2 linked regions of the Diceros bicornis minor genome follow. The protein of the gene in region 1 purifies or fractionates together with the protein of each later gene. This does not show direct contact. Links are inferred from orthologs where the notes say so. Each region holds a gene or a part of one and is shown in the gene's direction. Other genes may lie near its edges. The genes, in order: MTPN and CAPZB.

Evidence for each region.
Region 2: the proteins of MTPN (region 1) and CAPZB purify together in Homo sapiens (co-immunoprecipitation; 3 studies listed by BioGRID and IntAct, with this or other methods). This does not show direct contact. The link is inferred for Diceros bicornis minor from reciprocal best matches to the Homo sapiens genes MTPN and CAPZB.

The regions. Positions count from the first base shown.
Region 1 is NC_080742.1:84,475,070-84,482,783, reverse strand, and holds the start of MTPN (myotrophin), read left to right. Parts: upstream 1-4,679; 5' UTR 4,680-4,919; coding exon 4,920-4,991; intron 4,992-6,374; exon of another isoform or gene 6,375-6,389; coding exon of another isoform or gene 6,390-6,431; intron 6,432-7,714. UniProt on the Homo sapiens protein: Promotes dimerization of NF-kappa-B subunits and regulates NF-kappa-B transcription factor activity. Plays a role in the regulation of the growth of actin filaments.
Region 2 is NC_080752.1:36,751,848-36,759,624, reverse strand, and holds the start of CAPZB (F-actin-capping protein subunit beta), read left to right. Parts: upstream 1-4,625; 5' UTR 4,626-4,757; coding exon 4,758-4,760; intron 4,761-7,777. UniProt on the Homo sapiens protein: F-actin-capping proteins bind in a Ca(2+)-independent manner to the fast growing ends of actin filaments (barbed end) thereby blocking the exchange of subunits at these ends.

The DNA.
Region 1 (7,714 bases):
TATTTAAGTAACTCATATAACTCAATAGCAAAAAAAAAACAAAAAAAAAAACAAAAACCAATAATCAAATTAAAAAATAGGCACAGGATCTGAACAGACTTTTTTCCAAAGAAGACATACAAATGTCCAACAGATATATGAAAAGATGCTCAACATCACTAATCATCAGAGAAACACAAATCAAAACCACAATGAGATAAGACATCATACTTGTTAGAGTGGCTATCATCAAAAAGACAAGAGATAACACATTTGTGAGGATGTGGAGAAAATGGAACCCTTGTGCACTGTTGGTAGGAATGTAAATTGGTGCAGCTGCTATGGAAAACAGTATGGAGGTTCCTCAAAAATTAAAAATAGAACTACCATATGACCCAGCAATTCCACTTCTGCGTATATATTCAAAGAAAATGAAACCAGGATATCAAAGAGATATCTTTACTACCATGTTCACTGCAGCATTAATTACAATAGCCAAGACATGGAAACAATCTGAGTGTCCATTGACAGAATAATGGATAAAGAAAATGTGTGTGTGTGTGTGTGTGTATATATATATATATATACACACATATACATATATACATACACAATGGAATATTATTCAGCCCTAAAAAAGAAGGAATTCCTGTCATCTGTGCCAACATGGATGAACCTTGAGGATATTATGCTAAGTGAAATAAGTCAGACAGAGAAAGACAAATACTATGTGATCTCACTTATATGAGGAATCTAAAAAAACTGAATAGAAACAGAGAGTAGATTTGTGGTTGTTAGTAGGAAGGTGGGGGTGAAAGCAGTCAGAAGGTACAAAATTCCAGTTATAAGATGAATAAATTCTGGGGATCTAATGTACAGCATGGTGACTATATTTAACAATACTGTATTATATACTTGAAAGTTGCTAAGAGAAAAAATCTTAAAAGTTCTCACCACAAAAAAAAAGGTAACTATGTGAGGTGATGGATGTGTTAACTAACCTTACTGAGGCAATCATTTCAATATATGCATATATGAAGTCAACACACTGTATACCTTGAACTTACACAATGTTATATGTCAATTATATAAAGCTGGAAAAAATAAATAAAAACCCCACACACAAATAATGCCCCCACACACAAAAAATAGTTACCAACACAAGCCACCAGCTTTCCATTTTCCAGCCTATTCTACTAAAGCTACAAGTTTATAGGGTACATTATCTGCCCTCCATGCGTCACCATGCTATTACAAGAGATTGCTTTGCCAAATATTTCACTCCTGTGAATATGAATCACTATCCTTATAGCTTCTAATATCACTTCCTTTGTTATGTACTACCTAGTCCCCAAGCCAATGCCATCTATATAAGGTTTTTGTTCTAGTAACATCTCCCTTCTGACAACAATTTCTCTACTAGTCAAGATTGGCTCAGTGTTGCTGCAGTAATAAACACCAAAATCTCAGTAGCTTGAAACAACAAAAGTTTAATTTTTATTCATACTACATATCCCTTACAGGATGGCAGAGGAGCTCTGCTCATTGTGGCCACTCAGGAACCCAGGCAGACTGTGTAGTCACTGTCTTGAATGTTGCTGGTTGCTGTCCCAGAGGGAAAAAAGAGCTCTGAAGGGTATTGCATTGGCAAGCCTAGAAGTGACTCATATTACTTCTGCTCATAACTAATAGGCCAAAATTAGTTACATGACATTACTCAACCACAAGGAAGCCAGGAAGAGTAATTCTCTCTTGTGCCCAGGGTGGCAGACAAAAGGAAATATTTTCTGAACACCATAAATACCTACCAAAATAGATCAACAAAAAAATAATGAAAATATTTGTGATAAGTGAGGTGAAGGGGGGAAAAAAAGCTGGGTTACATGGTAGAAGTAATTGACGGACCTATTTAAAGTAAGTGGTCTGGAGGCCTGAAGAGGTAACATTTGCATTGAGACCTCAAAGTTCAGAAGAAGTGAGCAAGAATTAGAAGAACATTCCAGACAGGAAACAACAAGCATAACTGCCCGAGGCTGGAATGACCTTGGTTTTTCCTGAAACTGACAGAAGACGAGATCTCTGGGAACCAAGGAAGCAATGAGACAGGAGAGACTCTCAGGGTCAGATCACAGAAAGCCCTGAAGGCCATCGCAAATAATTAGGATGTTATCCTAAATGCAATAGGAAGCCATTGAACGGTCTTAGGACAAGAAGTGCATATTTGATTTATGTTTCAAAAAGGTAACTCTGGTTATGTGGTGAATTACTTGGAAAAGGGTAAAAGTGAAAATGGGTAGACCAGCCGGGAGGATATTATGGAGGCACCATCTCAGTGCAGACAGAGATGACAGTGGTGGAGAAGGGGTGTGTGGCGGGAATAGTCAGTAGTGAAGATGGCAAGAAGTGAAGAATTTAAGATATATTTTGAAGGATTTACTGACGGATTGAATAAGAGAGAAAGACTGGGAAAGGGAGGAGTTGTTGATGACTCCCATTTTCAAAGATAAACAAAGCCAGACACTAGTGAAAGTGGTCAAGACAGATTTTTTTCAGTAGTAACTCTTGCAATAGGGAAAAGAGCCTAGCATGAACTGAACTCAGCTTGGATTTGTACAGAGGTAAATGAGTGTTCTAAAGGGAGAATGAGGGAGTGGGAAGAGGGAGAAGTGCAGGCTCAGCAGAGTCAGGGAAGTGACAAATTAGAAAAAGTTAGTCAGTGTGAATGCGATTGGGCCAGCTGTGCCTATCGGCTGGCAATCATCGAAGTTAGGATTCTACCCTCCTACAGAGACTGGGAGTCAGAGGCCCTATCCTCAGGTGTTGGGTGGGACAAACACTAAGAAAATTTGGACAGCTTTGAGATTTCTCAAGCAGGCACTTTAAAGGGGACTAGGGTCATCTTAGAGAGGTGGCCTTGAGCTGTTAGGAACTATGTTAGTGTTTGTTCAAGTCTGTACAGACCAAGATTTGAGGCCTACTCGAGAAGAGGGCTCAGAGGAGCCTGGTTCAAGTTTAGTCAAAGAGAGAATCTTTGTCACCATGTTTCTGGTTTTAGTGACGGGATGGTTGCTGATGTCATTTATAGAGATGGAGAAGTCTAGGGAACAACTAGGTTTAGAATCTAGAGGAGACTAGATCCTATTTTGGACACGTTAAGTTTCAGACATTCAAATGGGTAAGAGGTTAAATATAAGAACAGATCACAAAGGAGAAGTCTGGGCTGGAGATCTAAATCAAGAGCTGTCAGCCTTACGTCACTCAAAGATCACACAGGTGAGAGTGTAAGAGAAGAGATGGGGACTCCAGGATTTGCCTAACAAATTCCTCCTGGAGCTTTGTTTCCAGAAATGTATCACCATCAGGTACGTGATTTTGTATTTCTATTTGTCAGAAAGGAAAATCAACAGAATGGCAATCAAGGTAGCTGTTCAATATTCAGAGACTTTTCTTTTGATTTGAAATCTCTATTTGCTATTTCTAAATGATAGCAAAAAAAATTACATTTATTGAACTTTGTTAGCCCCATTTAACACAAGTGGAAAATTAAACAGAGAGGGGTTAAGTAACTTGACAGATGTGACACAAAATTAGTAAGGGTTGGGTCTTGTATTCAAAACTAAGCAATCTGGTTCCAGAGTCTGTGTTCTCCGCCCCCCTACTATACGGCAAGCACAGCAAGTAGACTGGTTTAATTGTTTAGTGGATCATAAATAATAGACTTTATATATATAATACCTCCAATAAGCGTTTTTATGGGATCTCTCTGTTCATGTGTGCATGTCTGAATCATTAGGGATGAGGCACAATTTACCTGGTGGATATGCCCCAAGCTAATACAGCCAAACTCTAGGAAGAGTAGAACTGGCTTCACTAGAACAGTCCTGAAGCTTCAAACCATTAAAAAGAAATGAACACAAAATTTTAAAAACACAAATTGTACCTGACAGTTAGATTTGCTCTGTCCCATGGCATTAAACAGAATTCCTAGTCCTGGACATCATTTGCTGGTCAAGGAGATGAGTAAAGTTTTTTCCCTGCCACACACTAACGTTTTTCTCCCCACAGAACATTATACATAGTATAGACACAGTGAGTTCCCATTATTGTTATAAGTACCAAAGAGCTCCTTGAGGGCAGGAATTGTTTTATTCCATCTTTTTACTATATCCTTGGTGCCCAGCAGAGTCTGGCATGTACTAGGAGACCAAGGGATGCTTGAGAGCGAAGGAAGGAAGGGATGGAGAGAAAGAGGAAGGGAGGAAGGGGAGGAAGGAAGGAGGGAGGGAAGAAGGGAGAAAGGGAGGAAGGGAAGGGAATAGGGAGAAAAGAAAAGAAAGAAGGGAAGGAATTCAAATCAAACACTCCTACTGGATACTTTTAGAAGGTGAGCAAGATGCCCTCCAAGGTTGTGTTTTAAAGAAAAAGTTTTTCCCACTTATGGTGTGCAGAAACGTCCAGACCCCATCTGAAATTCTCTCTCCTCTTGCTCTCAGCCCTTCCTGACCTCCGACCCCCTTCGCTGGCCTCCTAGCCCCGCCCACTTCCCCCCCACCCGTTAGCAAAGCAGTCTAGCCACTGCGCCTGCGCACACGGGCGCTCCCGTCGGGGCGGGGTCCGGCGCAGGGCGTTCCGCCGTGGGGAAGAGGAAGAGGAAGTTGGGGGAGGGTCCTAGCTGGGAGTGAACCGGAAGTGTAAACGCTCCTGCTTCCCCTCGCCCAGGCGGAACCTGCTCTGCTGGGCCTGGTGGCCGCAAAAGAACTTTCTCCCGCCCTAACGGTCGCCGCGGCCAACTGCCTCGCCCTCCTGGCAGCCTACCCCGCCTTCCCTTCTCCTCTCCGGCTCCGCGCGGCCCTGTCTCCCTGTCGCCCGGCGGCGTCCGCTTGCTGCTGCCACCGCCTCCTCGTCTTCTGCCCGGCCAGCCGGCCCGCCCCGCTGCGGTGATGTGCGACAAGGAGTTCATGTGGGCCCTGAAAAACGGAGACTTGGATGAGGTGAAAGACTACGTGGCCAAGGTAAGCGGGATGCGTGGAGTAGGCGAGCGCGGAGGTGGGATGGAGGTGAGGCTGAGGAAGCTGACGGGAGCTCGGCTGGCGGGGCGGGGGCGGGGGGCGGAGAGACATCCTGGATGGAGGTGGCACCAGGAGGCAGGGAGTCAGGGAGCGTCTGAACTGAAAGGAGGGTCCAGGTAGCGAGGTCGCGTCCTGTGCCGGGTAACTGCCGTGGGGAGACAGTCAGGCTCTCTTGCCTTCCCTGACCCCTTGGGGGAGGGGAGGAGCGCTAACCCGCTCTTGCAGCGTCCCTTCTGAGCACGGATCCCTGAGTTTGGCCCTGTTCTTCGGCAGAGTTAGTCACATCTTTCTTTGAATGAGGTGATTTTCCATCTTGGACCTGCCCATTACTGAATGAAGTAACCTGAGTGATTAGAATCAGAGGAACGTTTGTCTTTAACTTGGGGCCTGTTAGGAATTTCAGGTAGTCGTTAACCGTGAAAAAGAGCACCGAAAATAGCAATAGTTAAAATTCTGACACTTGGTATCACTTCGCTGTCATGTCTTAACTTTGGGTGTGGTCCTTTTCCTGTCCCCCACTTCGACAAGTACCTATTTGCTTCAAGTGGTAGGATTGTCAGTTAGCATTTGAGAGTGTTTAAGATATCTGAGTAGTTTTCAGACAAGCATGTTAACTTCAGTTATTCCATCTTTCTCCTTGATTCCATCTGAAATGCTTGCATGTGTAATAAGTAGTAATGCAGTTTAGTCACAGTATATTCGCGGGTAAAATCATGATGAAGAAAGCTAATCTGTAACCTAAACCCAGCATAGAAGCCTGAATCCACATTGTGGTGGACTGGTAAACTTAAAATTAAGCTGGCCTGCCTTTGGACCCTGAAACTGTGCCCTTTGTAATTATGAGAGAACTTAATTATGAGAGAACATCTGATTTTAATATGATGATAATCTAGAAAGAAATCTTCCAAAACAACACTATAACTTTATGACATAACCATGGAGGGCATCTTGCTTCTAAAAAGTGTAACTTTCTGACATAACCATGGAGGGCATCTTGCTCACCTTCTAAAAATGTGAGAACCCAATCTAGATTTGAGTTCTTCAAAGAATATGACCACTGTTATGGTGGTCTGTTTTTGCTTCAGAGATCTGTGTTAGGAAGCAAGTAAGCAGAAGCGGAGTTTCCTAAACTTGCAGGATTGTGCAAGGCAAGCTGTTGATAGGTTTTACTGTTTACGATTTAGACTTTTTTGCGTGCAGGTTATCTGCTAAGTTGTTATTCGCAGTGGATTTTTAGGACGCCATTCACTGCCTTCTCAGCTAGTGGCAATCTGAAACCTGACTTATTGGATGTTTCAGTGTAAGATTAAAGGGAAGAAATTACTTGGAACACTTCAATCCATGGTGCACTTTCCAGTGGTGGGACACTGCAGTACTCTGGAAGTGAGTGGGCTTTTGTTTTTCTGTTATGGGGGAAGCTAGGTTATTTGATGTCTTTGAAATATGAAAAGTTGATAAGTACTAACTGATCTCACAGCCACAAAAATAACACAGTTTATATAGTGTCTTCCTAATACATTATTTTATATCATCCTTGTGAGTCTTGTGAAGTAAATCCTTTTATTACTCCCATTTTACAGATAAGGTTACTGAGATGCAGGGTACTTAAGAAAAAAAATCCAAACGTATAGATAACAAATGACGAAGCCAGAAGTAAACTGCTGACTCCAGACTTACATCTTTAACTACTCCATGCAGTCTCTGACAATCTAAAATGCAGTTGTGAAAGCATATGGTATCAGGATTTTTGGTGGGACGTTCCCAAGGTCCATATTCAGGCAGATAAATTATGCACAAAGAATTCAGAATCACACAAAAACGTTTATGTGAAAATATGTGCCAATAATAATGGATTAATTTATTTTCAGTTAGTTTTTTAAATTAAGTCATTATGTTCAGTTTTATTTTGTATTGCCCTGTTACTACCATGCTGCCTCCTCTCATTAACAAAAAAGATGTGCGTGAGAGGGAAGATAGACATTCAAAGAAAAGTAAAAAGAAGTGCTAAGAACTGGTTTATCCAAAAGGGTTTGACTGTAATGTAATCCTATGAACAGAACATTGAGCTTTTTCCTTTCTTAGTTTTTATTGAGTAACTTGAATCTGTTAAAATATCTTTTGCTTTGTTAATGAAAAATAACAAAAAATATAAGAACCAAAAACCCACAATCCAGTTGTTACTGACTGAGCTCGCTTATTGTGCCTTTTAACACTCTCAAGTCCTTATAACATAATTTCTTCTGCTCAGCAGTCATCTTCCCTGCACATTGACTCACCTTTTTCATCCACCAATTTATGAACACTCGTGATTATTTTCTGAGTTTATGTAATATGTATGTATCTGAGTAAGTGTGTACAAAGAAGGTACATAAAGAAACATTTGGACTTGTCTAGTTTTCCTTCTAAGGGGTGAGAGTCTCTAAAATACTCTCCTCGCTCCTCCTCGGTAGTCCTGTGAAGATCTCTCACATTAACATATAAGAATGGACCTGTAGGGCCAGCCCCGTAAGTGCGTGCGCTCCACTGCTGGCGGCCCGGGTTCGGATCCTGGGTACGCACTGACGCACCGCTTCTCGGGCCATGCTGAGGCCGCGTCCCACATACAGCAACTAGAAGGATGTGCAGCTGTGACATACAACTATCTACTGGGGCTTTGGGGGGTGAAT
Region 2 (7,777 bases), on another chromosome or scaffold:
CAGAGTGCAAGCAGAGGGGTTGGCTCGGATAGGTGCACAGACCCCTCACTCACAAGCGGGGAAGGCAGAGAATGTGGGCAAGGTGCAGAGTTGTTGGTAGATGGACAAGAGGGTTCCTGTCTGATGGATTCTATTATCTCTGTGAAGTACAAGGCAAGCTCATCTGTTTAGAGTGAAGGATGAGAAGGGGATAAAGGAGGAAGAAGATTGAAAAATCATCATCGTAGAGTGTGGGGAATTGAAAATAGCAGGGAAATATGGTAGGGTGGATAGGCAGGATTGAGGGCTCGTTTAAAATTTGTGGACATCAACATAAAGTGACACCATTCACTTTAAATTTCCCAGCAATATAGGCAGAGAGTAGGGGAACAGCTCGCTTAACTGGGGTTGGGCAAGTTAGCAGAAAAGAGGGGGGCAGAGGGGTTACAGGTTTTTGCCAGGAAGAGAGTATAATGCTCATTACTAAGCTGGTAAGGAGGGAAGTGAGCGCAAGAAGGAAGATAAATGTGGAAATCTGGCAGGTCCAAGGTCTGCAGGTCTTGATGAGGTTGAAGAAATGCTTGTGTGTGATACTGTAGCAAGGAGCTTAAAGTCAGATTTGAGATCTTCGCGATTGTATCTTCTGAGATAGTGCAATTACTGGTGAGAGCAAGTCCAAGGTAAGACCATGGGAGTGGGTACCTGGGGACAGGGGAAGAAAAAACTCATTGGCAGGAAAGAAATCAGTAAACGAGGGGTCAATAAGATTTTTGATGGATTATGCTTATGGATGCTAAAGTTATAAAGGTGCAGGAGGGGAGGTGCAAGTCAGTTCCTGAGAGCAAAAAGGAGGGGTGACGGGTGGAAAAATAGGATAGTATGAACTTCAAGGGGGTTGAGTTTTTGAAAGAGGAGAAACAGTACTAAAAATATTTATGGTGCCTGCCCACCTACCCACAGCCCCTTGTAGGCAGTCATATTTAATGCCACATGCCCCCCTGCTCATAGCAATAGTTGGCTGGTCAAGGGGTGAGATCTGACCTATGTGCAGTCAATCTGTGGACTTGCCAGTGACCTGTCTGATGAGCTGTCATCATTAAAAGATGACCCAGGGCCTGCCCGGTGGTGTAGCAATTAAGTTCACATGCTCCACTTTGGTGGCCCGGGGTTCGCAGGTTTGGATCCAGGGCAAACACTGATGCACCGCTTGTCAAGCCATGCTGTGGCGGCATCCCATGTAAAGTAGAGGAAGATGGGCACGGATGTCAGCCCAGGGCCAGTCTTCCTCAGCAAAAAGAGGAGGATTGGCAACGGATGTTAGCTCAGGGCTGATCTTTCTCACAAAAAAAAAAAAAAAAAAGATGACCCAGAGTTGGGTCAACTGGATTCTGTCTTGGGACCTGAACTATGAAAAACAAAAAAAATTTTCCAGTTAATAGAGCAAGCTGATGCAGAGAATAAAGAGGGGACAAAGGCCACTAGGATGGATCCCATGCAGGCTGCAATGTTAAGGCAATAGTGTTACACGCAGGCTGAGGATGCCAGATAGGAAAGGAAGAATGTAGCAGATGCACCAAAAGAAGCAGAAATGGGGCTGCATGAGCGAGACGGACTAGCCTGTCACTGAGTTCTGGGTTGGTTCCTGAGCCCTCTTATTACAAGATAACTTAACTTTCACAAGCTTTTGAGCAGGGAAGCAACGTGATCAGATCTGAGGTTACGAGTGTGGGCTCTGGTCCCAGACTGCCTGGCTTTGAACTCATTAGCTATCTGATCTTGGGCAAGTTATTTAACCCCTCTGTGCCTCAGTTCCCTCATTGTAAAATGGGAATAATAATAGTACTATCCTCATAGGGTTGTAATGAGGATTAAATGAGAAAATATGTCATGCATTTTGAACAAGGCTTTCTTTCAATATTATTTTCAAGTAAATGATTCAAGTGTCACTTCTTTCACAAAACTTTCCCTCATGCCCTTACCCCTTGGCCTCCCAGTGGGACACCGCCTTCTCTTGGTCCTCTTCCTGCCTCCCAGGTCACTTCTTCTCGGTCTCCTTGCTGGTTCCTCTTTGTCTTCTTGACCTCTTCTCTCTACAGTCACCTCCTACGTGAGCTCACCTAGATGTCTTGTGCTTTTAAGGACCTTAAAATATCATTTATTAGCTGACAGTTCTCATAAATTTATCACCAGCTCCAACTTCTTTCCCCAACTCCTGACTCCCATATCTGATTACTTATTTGACATCTCCATTCAAATCTCCAACAGGCATCTCAAACATAACTTGCCCCAAAATGACTCTTATCCCCCTCCAAAAACAACAAACACACCCCTGTTCCTTGTACACTTTTCCACAGATCAACAAATGGTTAAATCCTTCTAGTGTTGAGAAAGCTAAAAATCGGAGTATCATCCCTGATTCCTTTCTTCTTCTCATGCCCACCAGCAGTCCATCAGCAACTATCCAGAATATGATCTCTTCTTTTTTATTTATTTATTTATTTTCCCCCCAAAGCCCCAGTAGATAGTTGTATGTCACAGTTGCACATCCTTCTAGTTGCTGTATGTGGGACGCGGCCTCAGCATGGCCGGAGAAGCGGTGCGTCGGTGCGCGCCCAGGATCCGAACCCGGGCTGCCAGCAGCAGAGCGCGCGCACCCAACCGCTAAGCCACGGGGCCGGCTCTATGATCTCTTCTTGTCATCTCCAATGCTACTATCCTGATGTAAGCCACCTTCATCTCTCTGCTGTGTGACCTTGGGCTTACCTATTTAGGCCTCTGTTATGAGGATTAAACGAGTTATTATTTGCAAAGTGCTTAACAGTGTCCATCACATGGGAAGCCCCTTATACGTGCTTTTTAAATAAAGAAAAAAATGCCTTGAATACAGAAGTAGCTTTCTACCCGCCCTAGTCCCCCTACAGTCCATTCAGAACACAGCAGCCTCCTGATCCTCTCAAAGCTCAGGCCAGATCCTGTCACGGCTCTGCACCTCCTGGATCTCAGCTCCCACTGCTCTCCCCTTGTTCAACCTGGGCCAGCCATCTCAGCCTCCTTGTTCCATGAACACACCAAGGACTGTCCCCATCCGGTCTCTGCCCATGCTGTTCCTTGTGCCTCTGCTGTCCACATGGCTTGCTCCCTCTCTGTGATCAAATGTTACTTTCTAAGTCAGGCCTTCTTTGGCCACCCTCCAAAACACAGCCCCACTTTGCTAACCTGCCAGCCTATTCCTCCACATCTCTAATTACCACCTGACACTATATATTTAATATATATATATATTTACTTAGGAGCTATATAACATATATATATAAAATATATATATATTTACTTAGTAGCTGATTGTCTCCCCTCCAATGTTCAAGCTCTGCAACAACATGGGCTGCCTGGTTCACTGCTTTATCCCTAGAGCCTAGAACAGTGCTTGGTACACAGTAGGTGCTCAATAAATACTTACCAGGTGAAAGAATTCCTAATTGCCACTCTCCTCTGAATTTCTGTAATACAGGTCTGAATCATTCTTGTGGGACTAAGCTCTACCACTTTTTATGTCGGTGGCAGCTTTTACTTGACTATGAGCTCCCTGAACACAGAGGCCTAGGACATGGCCTGGTTTGTGGTAATAATTCCTGTCATTTGTGCAACACTTCACAGTTTACAATCCTCTCACATGTGACCTGATTTGATTCTCACAAGAGAGAGGAGCAAGCCAGGGATGGCAGATATTATTAGCAGGACTAGCATTCCAGGACTCCTGCCTTCCAGACCAAGCTCAACAAATATTTGTTGAATGAAGAAAAAAAGGATTTCTGAGTCACTTTGTGGAGTGAGGCAGCCCCACTGGGTAAATGTGCTAGGTCTCTGTAGCATATATAAAAATACAACACCTAACATTTAGTGAGCCCAGTCTTCTAACCTCTACCTGTGTGGTCCTCACAGCTAACATGTAACATGAAGCTATGAGGGCATCTTACTATACCTGGTTCACCTCTGTTATCTTTTGGCGCCTCAAACAAGGCCTGCTATACAGTAGGTGCTCAATGAGTGTTGTGGCCCGAGGCTCTTTTTTTAGAGATCGGGCCCAGGTGAAGCGACTAGCTCCAAGTCCTACACGTAGCAAGTGACAGCGCTGCCACTCCATCTCAGGTTCGCTCCCTTCGCTCCTCGGGGCTGGGCCGGGCCCGCGGGCCGCTCCAGTTCCGGGTCCGCCGCAGGAGTGAGCGCGTGCACCGGGTGGGGCGGGCAGTCCCTCCCCGCCCCACTGCCTTCCGCATCCCCGCCTGGGAGGCCCGCGGGCACGGTCCCTCTGCCGCCACCGGCTTCGGCAGCCGCAGAGCGAGTGGTAGGGTGTGGGTGCGGCGGAAACGCCCTCCCGGCCCCGCGCCTCCAACCCCGGGCCCTGACCTGGACCCCCAGCCCGCAGCCCCCGACCCGGGCCCGGGCCCGGGCCAGCCCTCCCCGCCGGCCGCCGCGCCCCGCCCCGGCCGCGCAGGCCTCGCCCCCACTTCCCCGTCCGGCGCTCCTCCCCCCGCGCGGCGCTCCATACTTGGCGATCGCCGCGGCCCTGCGCGCTCATTGGCCGAGAGCCGGCTGCGTGGGGGGCGGGCCCGGGCCTGGCCGGGGCGGGGAAGGAAGGTGGCGGCGGCCCGGCGCGGGGGGAGGGGGGCGCTGACCCGGATGTTCACTCCTGGGCACCCGGGGAAGTGGAAGCGCCGGGCCCTGCTGCGGGGGGGAGAGCCTCAGACGCCGGGACCGGGACCGCCGCCGCCGCCGCCACCATGGTAAAGGCCCGACATCACCGTCCCCCAGCCCTGGGGTCCCGTCGGAGCTCGCGTCCCCCTGCCCCGCCGACCCCCGGCCCGGGCAGGGTGGGTTCCGCCGGGTGGGGGAGGGGCGGGGTCCCGGACCGCAGGTAGACACCATCCCTGCCGGCTCAGGAGGGGGCCGCCGCCCGGGCGCGACCCTGCCTCCCCGTCCCTGCCCCCGCCCTTGGCTCACGCTGGAGTCCCAGTCTCCACTTCTGGGTCCAGGCTGGTTTCCCTCATAGCCCAGGCTAGACCCTCCTGGACCTGTGGCCCAGGCCAGGCACCCCCTCCGGGGGCCCAGGCGTGGTCCCCCTTCCTTCTCCCCATGGCCCGGGCTAGGTCCCCTTCCCTGGTCCCTAGAGCGCGGGCTAGGCCGTCGTTTCTCCCTCCCATGGTACGGGCTAGGCTCTCTTCCTCTTGGTCCAGGCTAGGCCTCTGTCCCCCCTCCCTTCTCCATGGCCGCAGTTTGGACCCCCGTCAACCCCTCCTCTAGTGGCCTCAGCCTAGATTTGTTTCCCTTCTCCTCCATGCTTCAGCCTGAATCTTCTCTTCCCTCCGTGGGCTGGAGTCTGGACCTCCCCATCCTCCGCCGATGGCCCCCTCCTGGACGTCACCCCTCCTCCTTGATCCCCTTCCCCGGACTTCCCACCACTCTTAGGGTAGTCTGTGTCAGCCCCGCTGTGTCCTGGGCTTCCCCTCCCTCCTGGGCCCTGTCCCTGCCCTGCCCCCGACCCAGGTGGTCCCCTCCCCTCACCTAGGGCGAACCTTCTCTGCCGCCTCTGGGAAGCGAGGGGCGCTCTCCAGCCCGGGTGGGGCTGGGCCGGGGCTGTGCCTTCTCAGGTTTGAGGGTTGCCCCTTCTGGGGAGGCCTCCTCGGAGCGAGCGAGGGAAGGGCGGGCGTCTGTGTGCCCGGAAGGCAGCGCGGCGCTCTGCGGGCCCTTCCCGCGGCCGCCGCCTCCGTGCTGCGGGTGCGGTGCTTGCGGGGCGGCCGGTTCCCTTGGCGCTGGGGCCTGAGTGGGAGCGGAGGGTTGAGGGTGGGGGAGCCGACAGGACGGGAATGAACACACAATCGCCCTTGTGAGGCCGCAGCCCTTGGGGGGCCAGCAGGCCCCGAGGCCAACATACGGCCAGGATACGATGCAACCCTACAGGCGCAACCTCCCTTTCCCCCTGAACTGTCAGCTTGTGAAGGTTGGAACTGCCGGTTATGGACGTGCCTCGGGTCAGGTGAGCCCGACTCCGAGGGAGAGCTGGCTTCACTCGTGGTGTTTGTTTTGGTAATGAAGGCAGGTGCTCTCTGGGCGCTCTGACTAGCCTGAGGTCTCCCATAGGCCCCACACATGAGCCTGCCCTCCTGGCCACCTTGGAACTCTCTGCAGGGCAGGCCAGCACCCAGTTTGGAAGGACCAGAGGACTTCTCCCTCACTCGGCCAAGGAACCTCTGGAGAGTGCGCTGACACAGCTCAGGCCTTCCACCTGCTCCTCTGCCCAGTGCAGGCAGATGTTTGCATGTGGACTTTGAGCCCCAAAGGGTTTTGAGGATCTTGGTTCCTTGTTTAATGAAGGGATGTTGCTGCTGAACTAGGGTGACTAATTCAGACTGGCTAATAGTTTTTTTCTTCATGCCTTCCTGTGTCTTGATTAAAAACACAGCGGTGCCATTTTTAACGCTATAGGACTTCCTCAACAGTGGTGGCTGAGAACTGGCTGCGTGGAGGGTGGAACAGGCCGGGGTGGGGAAAGACTTCTCCAGGACAGATTTGAGTGAGGACTTTAAAAGTGGAGCGAGGTTTTATAAATTAATTCTCAGGGCAAAAGCAGAGGATGATGGGGGTGGCTGGGTGGGGCTGCTCAAGGCAGCATATCTGGCAGAGAGGGCATCTTGCCTTGGCCCTGGGAGCCTGATTCTCCATCTGTGATGGGAAAATGCCTGTGATGAACCAGGAGGAGCACGATGATACATGAGGCTTCTCACGAGTCCTGTTTTTGGGTCTTATTTGGATAATCTGAAAGGACTGTGGAAGGGGTGGAGGAAAAGGGCTAACATTTCCTGAGGGGCCACTGGGTGCCAGGCACTGTGCTGTGCCCTTCCCCTATATGAGCTCATTTAATCCCCTTTGAGGTGGCTGCAGTCCCCATTTTACGGGTGAGGAAGCTGAGGCTCTGGGGGTGGCGTAATGTAAGGTGTTGCTCAGTCAGTGGAAACACATCTAGCAGGCTCTAAACTTCGTCCTTCCTGTTGTCAGGCTGTTTATGTGTTGGAAGATATAAAGGACACTTTAGAAAACAATACAGTCACGCTTGGCTTGAGGATGGGGATACATTCGGAGAAATGTGTCGTCAGGCGATTTGGTCATTGTGTGAACATCATAGAGTGTTCTTACACAAATCTAGATGGTTTAGCCCACTACACACCTAGGCTATATGGTACTGATCTTAGGGGACCACCATCATCTATGCAGTCCGTCATTGACTGAGATGTTGTTAGGTGGTGCATGACTGTAATGGGGTACTCAGAGATGCAAGGGAGGATCGGCATTTATCGACTACCAATTGCATACTGAGTCCTTTGCAAAGGAGGGCTCATTTAATAGTGAGATAGTAGTGCGGTGATGCAGGCATATTTAGCATGGGCCAGAACGTGAGCTCTTTGGAGAGCAGGGATTTTCATCTTGTGTTTTCCATGGCCGGATCCCTGGGGCCTAGAACAGCACCTGGCACTGAGGGGAAATGGCTTGGAGTGCTCTCTTTTGAGGCGTGTCTGTGTTCATGAACTTAACCACTTGGATTTTATATTTATTCTTTCAGTAACTTGTGCTTAGTATCCCCTAGGCTTATCAGTAATTTCTGACTGCTTTTTGTCAGATTTGTCCAATACTTGAGTACTGTTATAAACCAGTGTAGATAGTTAGGGTAGGACAGAAGTGGTGGCGTGGGGTTGCCTCGTAAGTAAATGAATTAAGACCACTCTGGGTTTTATTTTCAGTAGGTGTG